Linked DNA regions of Kluyveromyces lactis. The protein of the gene in region 3 purifies or fractionates together with the protein of the main gene of each other region. This does not show direct contact. Links are inferred from orthologs where the notes say so. Each region holds a gene or a part of one and is shown on either strand. Other genes may lie near its edges. The genes, in order: LCP5, NOP58 and ENP1.

Region 1 (4,855 bases), on a different chromosome or scaffold from region 3:
TAGCGTACCCTAAAACTCATAGGTCTGTTGTATACACCAGGAAAACCTCAAACAATTGTTCCAGTAACACGCTCTTCTTACAATGCAAACTCTCTGTGATTCTTGATTCTCTCTATTCTTATACGATTCTGATTCTTCCATACTATTCGAGGGATAATGAAAAATAATACTCAAGAAATACGTAGACGCCCGCGTAGGAAATATCTGCTTTCCTATTGCCCTGCCTAGCCAGACCGGGGGCGCCGCCCGCGGTCTAGGCAGATCAGATGAGCGTAGACAGGAATTTGAGAAAAATGATTCAGGGAAAACCAGGGTTGCTCACGTGCCGGACAATCTGTCTGGACAGACATTTTTCACGATCGAAATAGCTGTTAGGCAGAGAAGTCCACCGTGGCCAGGATTATTGTCCGGCACTTCTAAATCAGGACGAGAATGTGAATCAAAAAGAGGGTTGGATTGAGCGAAGAGGCTGGATCAAAGGTACTGTAGTCACCTGCAACAGTTCTAATATGAGAATCTGTATAGTGCTACTTTCAGTATCACTATAACAGTAATTTAAACGAGACTCAAGTTGGATCATTAATTGGCAAAAGCTTTCTGTAGATGCAGAACAGGGGGAAAGAAGGTAAAGGTTAATGGGTAAAGGGGCTGTCCGTTAGGACAAATTTCAATACATACTGGTGGGGTTTGGAAAAAGCACTGATTGCTTACGGATCAGTTTCTGTGGTGAAAACTAGAACGTAGATCCAGAAATCAATTTGATCTGGGGAACTACTTCGTTTCCAGTGGGATCAATGATGTTCTTTTCCTGAACAACGTCGACGCTAGTATCTGTATATGGACCAGTGCTAGAATCTGACCTAATAAGTGCTGTTTTGAAGGTAAGTTTGTGTATATCAAGCGCAAAGAATGTGTATGTATAATACTGAATATATATATATATATAGATAAAATTATTTGGTATGATTTGGTAGGGTAGTACCCTACTTTATTGTGAAACAATAAAGATGAATACTTAGGGTAACCTGAGGGTCCAGAAGGTCAATTGACACGACGTGTGAGTAGCAATTAGTTCAATGCATTGGAATAGCTGGTATCTCAACGGCAGCGAGGCATGAAATTGTCAGTCTCATTGGCTATAATTCAGTATTTAACGCTAAATATATGATTAAATAATGATGATTTAGCCAGTACTTTCTAATAAGGGAACTCAGTTCTAAAATGAAATAGTAATATACAATAACGTAGCGGAGTGGGGGGTGATGCAATAGGGAATAATTGAGATGAGTAGGAATTTTGGTAGTAATAGGTTGTACTTGTTCTTACACAAGTAGCACAGCGTTGACACAACCGTCTCTATCTGGCTCATTCGTGATTTGAGCATATTTACCCCAAACCACTTTACCACCAGAAGTAACCATACCTAATTCCGAGACGTTCACTTCAATAATAGTACCCTTGGTTAATACACCCAACTGTGTGTACATTGGCGATTGAGGATTCTTCTTCACCGCAAGAATTGGCAAGAAAACGGTGACTCCAAGTTCCGGATGCGTCACATTAGCCTTCTTTTGTCTCAAAGCACTAGGTCTGATAATCCTTTCCATCTTCACAGGCCTTCTTGTAAACCCTTCACCAACAAACGTATGTTTCGTGATCATTCTCTTCCATGCCTTAGACTTAGACTTACCTGTCTTAACAACTTTGAACATCTCTTCCTCACTGATACCTCTGACCTTAGGCAAAGGAACAGAAAACTTGTCAGCCTTCTCCAAACGCTTCTGCTTGATGGAACTGGATATAGCCTTTGCAGTGTTGTTCTGTTCTCTGTCTAACAAATAAGTAGGCAAAGCCTCCCCGTTCTCATCCAACGGTTTGGACCCTCCTTTAACTTTACTCTGCTCATGAGCACGGATCTTCTTCTTCATAGCAACCTTCTCAGCATAACGCTTCTTAGCAAATTGCTTACCCTTCCAACCAGTCAATTTCTGAGCCTTTTCAGAGATCTTATGAGCCTCACGGGCTTCTCTCTTACGTTTTCTCTCATCGTGGTCTAATCTACGACCATGTTGCTTGATGTGCTGTTCGATATATTCGTTTTGAGGCATCTTTGTTTTATTGTAAGAACGACTTGTTCGGTGATGACTTACTTCTAAATCACAAACGGACACACGGACTCCTTGAATGGACTTCTTACCACATGTTAACCCATGCGATGAGCTAGTTGTTCAAGTTGTCTTTGTATGCTTTTCTCATTGAAAGAAAAAAATTCAATAGGAAATGTCGAAAAGAAACGTAGTGAAAAAAAAAATTTGGAATCAAGCGATGAGATGAGATGAGATGGGTATCAGCCAGATACAAGTTTGGTTGTCTGGTGTGGGTTTGGCATAGGTTCGATCTACTGTTATTGATGTATAAAACCTCATTACATTCTATTGACAAGGGTTACAGCGGAAATATAGCCATGTCTGAGGAGTTAGGAACTGTTTTGAAAACGATTAGAGATTCTTTGAAATCTTGTGGAGAAAGCTTGGATAAGTTAGAAGAAGTCTATGATGATGAGGAGACCCATCCTTTCCAAGGTTCAGCGGTGGTAGGTCACAAAGGTGATAAATTAGAAAAAGTTTCTCTACTTTCTTTGAAGAATGGGAGTATGCTATCGTATTTGAATTCGCTTCTGTTGGTATTGGGACAGAAATTGAATAAAGAGATGGTTGTTGATGAGGGTAGAGTCAGGGCAGTGGAACAACGAGTTGTTCTTGAAAGAGGTGTGAAGCCCTTGGAGAAGAAGTTAGGGTACCAGCTGGATAAATTGACGCGGGCGTACATTAGACTGGAGAAAGACGTTGAAGAATCCAAGAAAAGAGCCGAATTGCAGGGACTGAGTGACGTACGTGCTTCCCAGGAAGAAGTATCAGACTCAGATTCTGATAGTGAAGAAGAGATGCAATATAGGCCGAACAGTTCAGGAATGGTCAATAACACATCAGTTGGAGGGAAAGCCAAGGGGAAAATCGCTGTCAAGAGTACTCACAATGAAGAAGATGTGGATGATAAAGATAACGTTTATAGACCACCTAAGATCAGTGCCGTTCTGCCACCAAAGCAACATCACTTCGAGGATAAATTCAACGCACAAGAACATAAGGATAAGAGTAGCAGGTCTCGTATGCAAGCTATGGAAGAATACTTGAAGGATTCCTCGGAACAACCGGAATGGGAAACTTCTATCGGTGCCAATATCGTCAACCATGGTAGAGGTGGTGTGAAGACAGCAAGAGATACAGAACGTGAACGTGATGTTCAAAGATTCGAAGAAGAAAATTTCACTAGATTGAACCCCAACGGATCCAAGACTGACAAGAGAATGAAAAAACAAAGAGAAATCATGGCCAAGGTTAATATGATCGCCGGTGAAGATTTCAGTATCTTCAACTCCAAGCGTAAGTTGGAGGATAGTACAAGCAGAAGAGGTAATAAGAAATCTAGAAATGCTTGGGAAAGAGCCAAGAAGAAGTTGTAAACCTGAGGTCCTTCTTTTTCTATGTATAAATAGGCTAAAATATCCATACGTCTCTATTGTCATCATATAGTGTCAAATACGTAGTTTATAAATCGAATGATAACGGTGTTGCACTGCTCAAACTCTAGCTTTGATGTGGTTTGTTTCGTTTCGTTTTGTCTCGTTTTCTTCATATCAAGGTGTAATCACCAATAATTAATTAATACAATCTAAGCGTTCCAACTTTGCAAGATATAATCACCACCTATCACCCCTACTAATCTCCTACCAGCGTACAACTTCCAGCGCCCCTGATGAAGAACGAATACACCAGAAAGAAAGTCTCAGCAAAGGATAGGAAAGCATGTCTGATATGTGGTAACCCTACAGTCACAGTTTTGTTCAATGGAAGCGGACCTGATTGGTTTTATACATGCGATATACATCTAGTTGATAACCCGCAGTTTGTACAGCCTCTATACCCAAAAGAGTATCACGAGTCTCTGGTTAGTCTTAAGCCACTCAAAGAACGCATAGAGGAGCTACAAAGGAAAGAGCGAGGTACCTGGGATCAATGGGTTAATAAGATCTTTGACTCTAAAAAGCCATCATCATCTGATGATAAGAAAGAGGACAGGGATGACGCGAGTTCTGACGACAAGAAGAAGACCGATGAAGCAAACTCACTTGAAGAATTGCAGCAAACGTACCAAGCGACACTTGATAAGCTAGCTGCATCAAGAGAGACGTGCAATAGATACACTCTACACGACCTAGTATTCCAATCAAGAGTCGACAGACTACGGAAACTGGCTCAATTAAAGGAAAAGAAACGTGTAGAGCAACAATCATACACCAACACCGACCCCAATCAACTATTACAATCGTTTTCGTTTCCTGAAGTCCCCAAGAACACCGTTAACAAGTCATGAGAGGACGGCCTAATATGCCTACCTCTTATGTCTTTTGTGCAATTCTATATCACGTGATTGATATCACGTCAAAAAGAAATTTCTGATCTTTTCAACTTTTCAATGAAAAGCTTTAAAGAAGCAGGACATAGTTAGATCCCATGCGATGAGCTTCAAACTAGAACAGAATACTTGCTGGTTTCAGGCGTTTCATCTCTGGTTTTTGCTATTTTAAATAATTTTGAACTTTAATTCGATACGTGCTCTAAAAAAAGGCTAGGAACTGTAATATCATGGCTAGAGTAAGAGGTAGAAAGCTAATAAAAAAGCTCAAGAAAGATGAGTTCCATCCAGAAGACAATAAAACCCATGATGAGCCTACGGTTAGCCATGTTAATGAAACTGCTGGGGGTGACAATAGTGATGTGAGTCCTAATACTTT
Region 2 (4,989 bases), about 160 kb from region 3:
TCATCGGTTTCATCCAGAAGAATTCCTTTATCACTATTGTTCAACATATGAATTCCTTTGCTTCTTTGCTGTCCTTCGAGTTTTTCCAACTCCAATGAATTCTTTATCCCTGTTATTTCCTCATTACTGCGTTTCTGTTTGACTTTGACAACTGCCTGAATTGGCCGGTCTGAGAAATCCTCATCATCTTCCAAAAGATCAACTTTCACCATTCTCGCTGTGTCTATTCTTCTCGGTTTCTGGTTTTGATTTGATTTCTTCTTTCGCCTTTTAATCTTGACTGGTGCGTAATCTTGATATGGTTGCTCATCATCTGAGTCACTTTCAATTTTGACCCTCTTAGGGAGAGACTGGTGAACAGGTAATGGTTTATCATTTACTAAGGAGTCGTGTAATGGTATGTCAGATCTTGAGTTTGTATCATTAGCCTCATCGCTGTAATCAAAGATGGAGATTTTGTTTAGTTTTCTATCTTTATTCAATTGCCGTAGCTTAAGATTTTTGGCATCCTGTTTATCATGAACTAGCTTCTCATTCTCTAATATGTTTTCGTCATCAATATTCTCTTCGTCGTTTGTCACTGAAGTTTCTTTCAATGTAAAAATGACTGCTTTCTGTTCAGCAATAGATTTCAGTTCATCTGATACTGGGATATGGTGATGCGTAATGTCATCATGTACAGTAGCATTTTCAGCAGAAGATTCTTTGTGAGTGATAGGTTTCCCAATTTTGGAAAGCCAGTCATCAATAGATTCTTTATCAGTAGTCGCTCTTTGGTCCACTGCTTCCTTTGATTCATATATTCTTTGTTTTAGTTGACCAATCTTTTTATCACGATCTTGAGCGCTTCCATTTATTTTTCCAGAAGCACAATCCTTTTCGGAGGGACGTGAACTTAGCTGACTAGATCTTCGTACTTTCCTATTTGTATCAGATGCACCTTCTTTTGATTCTGTTGACGTCTCAGTGGGCCTAGGTATAGTCTTCAAACCTAAACTTGCCCTAATTCGATTTGTTTCTTCCAAAGATATAGAAGTAATCTTACCCATGGCTTTGAAGTAACTGTATGCCTCGTAGAATTCGTATTGTGGTCGAATATCCTTATTATCAAATCCTGTTGCTTTCTTTCTGCCTCATCTCATCGCCAACTTGTCCGAATTTAAGAATTGTATATTTCAACATTTTCATCAGTGAATATTTTGATGTAACTATCAAAGCCATTGACGATGACAATGAGAAGAAGAGTACAGCGTATGACAATAATTCAATTATTATATTTTGTTTGAATTTGATACAGACTAATTTACAGAGGTACACACATAGTATGTTCGTATGTAATGGAACAGATTTATACGAGGTTATTAGAGATTTAATGCAAAAGAGTGGGGTTTTAATGTGAATACTATATCTATTTCTTTTCCTTCTTAGATTTCTTATCCTTTTTTTCTTTCTTTTCCTTCTTTTCCTTCTTTTCCTTCTTGTCTTTCTTCTCCTTCTTAGACTTCTTAGATTCCTTAGACTCTTCATCATCGTCTCTCTTTCTCTTCTTATCCTTCTTATCCTTCTTAGATTTCTTTTCTTCCTTGGTTTCTTCCTCGTCCTCGGATTCATCATCAGAGTCAGCAGGAGCAGCAGCTGAAGACACGGTGTCAGCATCTGCGTTGTATGCTCTAGCCTCTGTGATTTCAGTCTTCTTGTGCTCACGGACGACCTTTGGTGTGGTTCTCAAGTCTCTGCCTTCTAATTGGGACAATCTTGATTCTACCTTAGCTCTGGATTCCAAACCGATGTCACCAGAATCGTCTCTATCTTCAGCCAAAGCATCGTAACGCAAAGAAACGGCAGCCTTAGCAGCCAAAACTCTGGCAATCTTACCCTTGTTCTTACCAGATGCTTGGCCAACCAAGGAAGCGTGGTACAATAGACCATATTTAGGAGTGTCATGCTTAGTTTTCAATGCTCTGAAAAGAGCCTTTTCAGCACCCAAGATTTGGATGGTGGAAGCTGGAGACTTGGCCAAAGAGATTAAAGAACCAGAGTGTGCGATCAATCTAGCACCAACCAATTCACCAACTAATTGAGTCAAATTTGGAGCAATAGCCTTCATTCTTGAAGACAAATAGTTAGAAAGTTGTTCTCTGTAGGCAGCAAATTCAACAATTTGTTCGGCTAAACACTTGATATTAATCAAATCAACTGGGGTAATTTCAGTACCCATGGAGACTTCGGCAGCGGTCTTGACTCTCTCTTCAATTTCTTCAGGCAAAATTTCAGACATGTCAGTTTCAGCAGCATTAACTCTAATACCCATGGTCAAGATTATTCTGGCGTAAGCAACAGAATCAGTAACAATCTTGGCCAATTCTGGGAAATGCCAACCGTACCATTCCTTACATCTCATAGCGTAAGTGTTTAATTCTTTATCTAGATCGTCTAGCAAAGCAATAGCTTGGATGATCATAACATCAACTTTATCAGCAGAGAACTTCAATTTGTGACGACCGATGGAGTGAGCCAAACCCAATGACATCTTGGAAAGATCTTGATCGTTCAAACCTGGCAAAAGTTCTGGCAAGTACTCCTTGACTGCACGGTAAATATCTAAGGTGACGGCATCAGAGACAACGTTGAAGTTCAAACCCAACTTGTTGATAGCGTTTGCCAATTTAGTTTCAGAAACAACTAAGGTGGCCTTTTTGTCGGTCTTGCATTCTTCCAACAGTTTTTCCAATTGGGAAGAGACTTTACCATCAATCACAGAGTTAGCTTCTTCCAAAGCATTTGCAGCTGATGAAAATTTAGAGAAAGCAGCAATCTTGAATTGGTTCAAGACCTTGTCACTGCTGTTCAAATCCTGAATCAAAGAAGAGGACTTATAGATCTTCTTGTCAGATGCTTTCAAAAGAGCATACCCAGCTGAGGTTTCTGTCAAGACGTAGGCCATCGCTAAAAAGTCTTTTATGTGTATGTTGCTAGATGATCCTAATTATTCAACGGGTTCTTTGAGATATCGTAGATATGATGGATGTGCTTAATTCTTCAATCGAAACGTTAATACCATTCTGTAGTTCAATACTGATGAGATGAGCTTGTCGAAAATTTTTCAATGTTAGTTAAATTTCAAAAAGAAATGAAAAGAAAACACATCTGGACACCACATATATAAATCACGTGTTATAAAGGGACCAGATAAAGAACTGCACTGTTTGTTCTTCATATATCGAGACCAAGCACATTCCAATGGCCAATACGGTTCACAAAAGCATCAAACTAGACGTTGTATATTAAACAATATTTGCTGGTAGTTTTTAATTTATTCAAGTCTATACATAAGGTGAGATGTAGAATATATGTGCCAAATCAATTGACTTGTATACAAAAAATGTAGGTGTGAAATGTGATCATTAACTGTCATTTCCTCCCGTCTATCTTAAGTTCTCCGGTTATAGTCAAATATTCAAAGGGATTGAATTTCATATGCGATCATTGAAAGTGGTACATCATCAGTGAGGAAGGTTTTGATAAAAGCCTGCTCAGTGTAAAGGTAAGAGGAGGGAACACGAAAAGTAAAATACAAACTAGGTAATGGTAAATGGTGCCTCTACGCACCGCTCTCCTCAATTCTTGAAAATGCGGATGACAGCTGTCATGAAAATGGCGGATAGAACTGGAATAGTGAAGTTATCATCCCAGTTAAACAAGTCGATACCTTCACTCAAAGCTGCGACAAAACCACCTAATAGCGAAAGTTGTAGTAGGTTTAGTTTGCTTGTCTCTTCGGTCCAGGAGATTTCACCTGGTTTGTTCACCCAGTTATAATGAGGCACAAAGAATCCGTAAAATGAGTAACAAGTTATGAGACCAACGGAAAAGGCTGCAATGGAACCTGCTAAAGACTTATTTCTGGCCAATTTTGGTGTAAGGTGTCCGTACTTTCTACCGAAAGTAGACGCAGCGGTATCTGACCAACTTAGTAAGAACAGTGAGATTAACGCGATATCTTTACTAAAAAAGGAGAACGCAAAAGTCAGGCCCAATAAGTACCATAGGACTCCATTATACGTATGAATTTCTTTTTTCCTCATCAATGCCCCAACACAACGACAATACATTTTATTGAAGAATGGAGAACGTAGACGAATGAAGTCTAAAATAAATACGACAGTAAATCCTACTATCAATGGAAATTTCACTTTCTTGTAATCAACATTTTGAGTGTAAAGATATAGGGTAATAAAACCAATAGATGAATGGAATAGTTTCCGTGGTATTTCGTGTTTTGTAATGAAATCACCAAACCATTCATGTGACTTTAAATGAATTTCTGTTAATGGTAGATGAACATCACTCAGACTCTTTCCCAAGACAACTGTTTCCTTCTGTTTCTTTGTATTTACTCCGTTAGGAGTACTCAGTCTCTGTTTTAACTCGGCTTCGTTGCCAGAATCATTTGAATTGTAGTCAACCATCTATTCAAAATAGTAAAATGCTAGGATGTTCTTCTCTATTGGATCTCGTCGATTTCTTTTGGAATTTCTGACTTCAGTTCGTATCGGAAGTGTTTCGTATGGTGGTCAAGTTCCAGATCAATAATCAGAACACAATAACGATAACCGGACAAACCTTAGTAAGACAGTAGAAACTAATGTTTACCAGTTTAGTTGCAGTTTTGAGCACAAGTTACCTATTATAGATCAGTTGAAGAAAACTTGCATCATGATCAATGAGTTGAAACACTGACCTCATCAACCGATTGCTTCTTTCATTAAAATGTTTGAATCATTTATCGCAGATTATTTATTTATCACTCGAAAAATCAATTCACAAGTGAAGAAGTCACATGGCAAGTAAACGCTATATGTTACCCGCACTAAAATCATCATAACATCATTTCGTCAGAGGTTCCTTATGGACCCACTAATCAATGTACAGCATCACTGTATTAGTAGGAACTTCTATACTTACTGTGTATGTATGAAAACAAAATGA
Region 3 (4,746 bases):
TTTAACGCCCTTTTCGCTAACAACAACTGAATTCCTACAGTTTGTAGTTTGATAGTAGGTGGGCGGAAATATTACCCATTTAATTGGTTCAGTAGTTTCCTCTGAAATATTATGAGAGTCGTATGAATTTGTATATCAATAAGATTTAGCAATAGTTAACCAAGTTCAGCCTTATGTTATACTTACCATCGGTAGATACATTAAGTAGCACTCGGTCCACTCTTTCTTACATGCGCTTTTGTAAGGGTTGGCAAGGGTCATGCTTCAGAGTGAATGACTTTCATTCAGACAGCTCTGTTATTTCTTTGATTGAGGTTTGGGATAATATTTTAGTGACATAAAACAAAATGTAATATAGCCTTTAAAATAATACTTAGTACAATTCCAATCACAAATAAAAAGGGATAGCGCCTCGTTAAAGGACATTAACTGACGGAATATGACGACAGATTTAGACACATTAAGTGATCAACTACGCAAAAATTATTACAGGGACCTTTCGCTCTTTCAAGATGACGAAGACCCTTTTTACCATTATCTTATATCTACAAAACTGGCCACAAACTTAAATACCGTGAGAAAACTGGCTATAAAGGATAACTTGGATGATCCGTCTTCTGATGCTATTGATAGATACCAGAAAAACTTTAGCAGACTAGAGGAATCGGTTAGCTCTATCAGTTTCTCCAAAGCTTCTAAGTTGCAACAGAAATATGATGCATATCAGGAATCTCAAAAGAAAAGGCGATATAGTGTTGATTTCGATGCAACGCCCGACGTGCCTATAGGAGATGAGGACGATGTTGATATAATATCCAATGTTGAAGCAATTAATGACAACGATTCTTTGAAGGAGCTCCGCCAAAGGCTTATGGGTAAAAGAAGGGACAGCGCTGATACGGAGGGTGAATCATTTGACAAACAAATGCAAATTCAGGATGATCTTCAGAAGGAACTGGTTGAAGACATGTCCCAGCTAGTTTCAGGCTTAAGACAAGGTGCGGAAGCTTTCCAGAATGCTATCGAACACGACTCTACTGTTCTTAAGGCAGCAGAAATCGGATTGCATGTTACTTCTAAGAGCCTTTCTTCACTCGGATCCAGATTGAAAAAGTATCACAATGAAAAAATTGGATTTTTAATGAAGTTAGGACTTTTATCGTTTATTATAATTGGTCTATTGGTCACCTATCTTGTAATAAAAGTATTTCCAGATTTATGAGTGTCTTCCGCTAAAATCTCCAAGATTTAGATAAAGGCTCTGCTTCACTCAAAAGCTTCAAAGTACAAAATAGACTCATGAATATTCGATGAAATTAATTGATACCGTTTCCACTTATCGAATAGATTGATTCTATTGATTGTCTTATCTATAATTGCATATTATACACTTGTTTAAAATTGACAGGCACTTATATTGTTATAGGACTATTGACTACAGAACATCAAACATTAAATCAGCTTTATTACCAACATCACTGACAAATTCTCTACTATCACCGGCTAATAATTCTCTTCTGATTTCAGGTCCAATTTCTTTGTGACCTCTTTGACGAACAGTTTCAAGTAGGAAATCTCTTTGATCTTGGGTAATATCATTCTTATAACGTTGAGCAAACGCTAAGAAAGCTTTATGCCATACCACAGGTAAGACTCTGACGGCATCTTGGCCTGTACTTCCATCAGTGACTTCTCTGAATCTCATGAAGTAGAAGACACATTCGTCAACAGTTTGATAAGGCAAAGCATACTTCTTCTCGAGTAGAATTTTGATGAAAACGGTGGTGGCTGGGGAAAAAGGTAATCTTAAAAGGTAGGACAATGCTGCAGCAGAATGAAGAGCTGGCACAGAGACCTTGGATAACACACTTGCAGCAATGGTAGCTTCTCTAACATTACAACCGGATTCCACAAGTGGGAATAAGAACCCTTTGAAAAAGGCAGCCGGTTTATACAATGATTTCTTTAATGCACGGTAGACATGGTAATTTAAGTTGTGATCTTCGTTAAATTCAATTTCTTCTCTGAAGCGTGGTAACAACACAGCTATAACGAATTTTTGGGCCTCTTTAGATGATAAGTTAGAAACAAAAAGTTTAGTACCTTCGTATATAGCATGCGGAGACCATTCCTCTGGATTAGTAACATAGAGAACATCTTGCCAGTTATTTAGAGAAGGCAAAACTTTGAATAGTTTGGGTAGTTTACCATGTCTCCAGGTCTGCATAATGGTACCAACGGCAAGGTATGCTTGAATCACCTTGGGTGGTAAGGCGACACCTTCTGTACGATCTACAGGTGCAGCTGGTTCCGCTACTGCAGAGGCATCACCTGCTTCTTCTTCATTATACTGTAGTTCCATCTCTTTTTCTCTAATAGAAGCCATAATCTTATCGGCAAGGTTATATGATCCATTGGCAGAGTTGAAATCAGCAGAAGTCTTGAAATATTGGTCAAACATTTCAGCATCTTCTTCGTCAATTTCTACCACTTCTTCCTCCTCGTATCCTTCGAAATCGTCTTCATCTTCCGGTTCAAAGTCAGATATGTTATTACCTTGAGCTTCCTCTTCCTCAGCTACATCATCTTCATCCGCATAGTTGGCCACACAGAATCTGTTTATTCCTTGGCTGGATGTCTGCAGAGACTGCTCGTCCTCTTCCTCTAATTCTTCCTGCTGTTCCCTAGCTAATTGCAAAATTTTTCTAGATTGCTGGGCATCGACAAATTCTTCATCTTCATGGCCTTTTTGATCCTTAGCATCGATCTTTTTCTTACCTTGTCTTTTCAACTTACCATGTTGAGAGTCAAGATCGTTCAATAAAGGATCGTGTCTCTGTTTACGACCGCTGCCACCCATTACTTTACCCATTTTCTCCGTAGAACAAATAAATCTTGTATCACTAGTCGTATTCTGAGCACTAAAGCAGACACTAATGAGTAATTTTGTGATTGTTATCTGCCATTTACCTCATCTCATCTCATCTCATCTCATCTCATCGCTTCTCATCTCATCGTTACTTATTCAAATCCCAAAAATTTTCAGTCAATGCACGGACAGAAAAAGAAAGGCTAGAGATACTCTGTTTAGAGAAGTCAAAGGTTCAATTAAATAACTCTGGAGCATTGGCAGCGGGATCGTCGTGATTGAAACAGATATGCCACAGCGTTGAACACAAATTCAAGCTACTGTAAACAGCCAAGAGCTATGTTCTTCTAATGATTACAGGCAAAGAATGTTGTTTGTTTTGCACGTGACTTTAAAATCTGGAAAGATTTTTCAACTGCAGCTTAGATTCGTTTTACGTATATATAATTAACAATGGATCAAGTGTAATGTGATCTCATATGCGTGGTGACACATTGCTGGTCTCTTGTTCACTCAAGCTTCTCCCTTGAGTTGTACTTATCGATTGATCAAAAACCAAGTGTTCATTTCCGTTTTTTTCGTTCCTTGCAATCTTAGCAAAGTTACAATTAACATTAGACTAGGCCCTTCCAATTAATCTTTTAATTGACCACCAGTTACTGAAGAAATCATGTCTAAAAGATCTTCTAGTGTAGCGAACACTCCAGTTAAAAGGAAGCATTTACACTCTACTTTGAATCATAAGTTTGTTAGCATCAATTCTCAAGATGATTATAAACATTTGTATAGATCTGTTGTTCCACTTGACATTTTTGTATGGGGAACTGGATCAATGTGTGAACTAGGCTTGGGTCCTCTAGCTAAAAACAAAGAAGTTAAGAGACCTAGACTCAATCCCCTTTTGCCCCGTGATGAGGCTAAAATTGTGTCTTTTGCTGCAGGTGGAATGCACACCCTAGCGCTAGACGCTGACAATAACATCTGGTCGTGGGGGACTAACGACTCAGGTGCTTTGGGTAGAGACACTAGCGGAGCTGTAGAAAAATTGAAAGATATGGATGCAAATGATAGTGATGATGATGAAGATGGTGACCTCAACGAAATTGAATCCACTCCAACTAAAATTCCTAGAGACTCTTTACCATTGGACGAATTAAGATGTGTACAGATTGCTGCCACAGACAATCTATCTGCTGCTCTATTTGAAAATGGTGACGTTTACGCTTGGGGTACCTTCCGTTGTAACGAAGGTATTTTAGGTTTCTACAGAGATGAGATTACCGTCCAGAAAACCCCTTGGATAATCCCTAACTTCTCCAAGAAAGCCAAGATTGTTCAAATGGCTGCTGGGAAAGATCATATATTGTTCTTGGATGAAACTGGTATTGTTTACGCCTGGGGTAATGGTCAACAGCAACAATTAGGTAGAAGAATTTTGGAACGTTCTCGTTTGAGAACTTTAGATCCAAGACCATTTGGGTTGGATAACATAAAGTATATTTCATCGGGTGAAAATCATTCATTTGCCCTTTCCACGGACGGTAAACTGTACTCGTGGGGTCTTAATCAATTCGGGCAATGTGGTATATCTACAGAATTAGAAGATGGGTCCTTGGTAAGTGTTCCTACTGAGGTCATTTTGCCAGAAGGAGTTGAAATCGATTCTGTTTCTGCTGGAGAACATCACACTCTAATATTGGCGAAATCTGGTGATTTATATTCTTGTGGTAGATTAGATATGTTTGAAGTCGGTATTTCAAAGGATAAACTACCTGAGTACACTTATAAAGATGTTCATGGCAAGGCCCGTTCTATTCCTCTTCCAACAAAATTAGAAGACGTTCCTTCATTTAAGGCCATCGCTGCAGGCTCTCATC

What was found.
Region 1: the proteins of ENP1 (region 3) and LCP5 purify together in Saccharomyces cerevisiae (affinity purification with mass spectrometry, with the first as the bait; 3 studies listed by BioGRID). This does not show direct contact. The link is inferred for Kluyveromyces lactis from reciprocal best matches to the Saccharomyces cerevisiae genes ENP1 and LCP5.
Region 2: the proteins of ENP1 (region 3) and NOP58 purify together in Saccharomyces cerevisiae (affinity purification with mass spectrometry; 4 studies listed by BioGRID). This does not show direct contact. The link is inferred for Kluyveromyces lactis from reciprocal best matches to the Saccharomyces cerevisiae genes ENP1 and NOP58.

Annotation. Positions count from the first base shown.
Region 1 is NC_006041.1:1,204,512-1,209,366, forward strand, and holds LCP5 (small subunit rRNA maturation protein LCP5), read left to right. Parts: upstream 1-2,335; coding exon 2,336-3,523; downstream 3,524-4,855. Other genes in the region: rRNA-processing protein NSA2, read right to left, coding at 1,323-2,108; VFA1 (Vfa1p), read left to right, coding at 3,817-4,434; RNA-binding RNA processing protein NOP9, read left to right, coding at 4,707-4,855. UniProt on the Saccharomyces cerevisiae protein: Component of the U3 small nucleolar ribonucleoprotein. Required for the early cleavages at sites A0, A1 and A2 of the pre-ribosomal RNA. Participates in ribosome biogenesis.
Region 2 is NC_006042.1:800,215-805,203, forward strand, and holds NOP58 (RNA-processing protein NOP58), read right to left. Parts: upstream 2,945-4,989; coding exon 1,409-2,944; downstream 1-1,408. Other genes in the region: U4/U6-U5 snRNP complex subunit SNU66, read right to left, coding at 1-1,049; DGK1 (diacylglycerol kinase), read right to left, coding at 3,618-4,469. UniProt on the Saccharomyces cerevisiae protein: Required for pre-18S rRNA processing. May bind microtubules.
Region 3 is NC_006042.1:636,737-641,482, reverse strand, and holds ENP1 (snoRNA-binding rRNA-processing protein ENP1), read right to left. Parts: upstream 2,873-4,746; coding exon 1,436-2,872; downstream 1-1,435. Other genes in the region: SNAP receptor USE1, read left to right, coding at 440-1,222; SRM1 (Ran guanyl-nucleotide exchange factor), read left to right, coding at 3,540-4,746. UniProt on the Saccharomyces cerevisiae protein: Required for normal export of the pre-40S particles from the nucleus to the cytoplasm.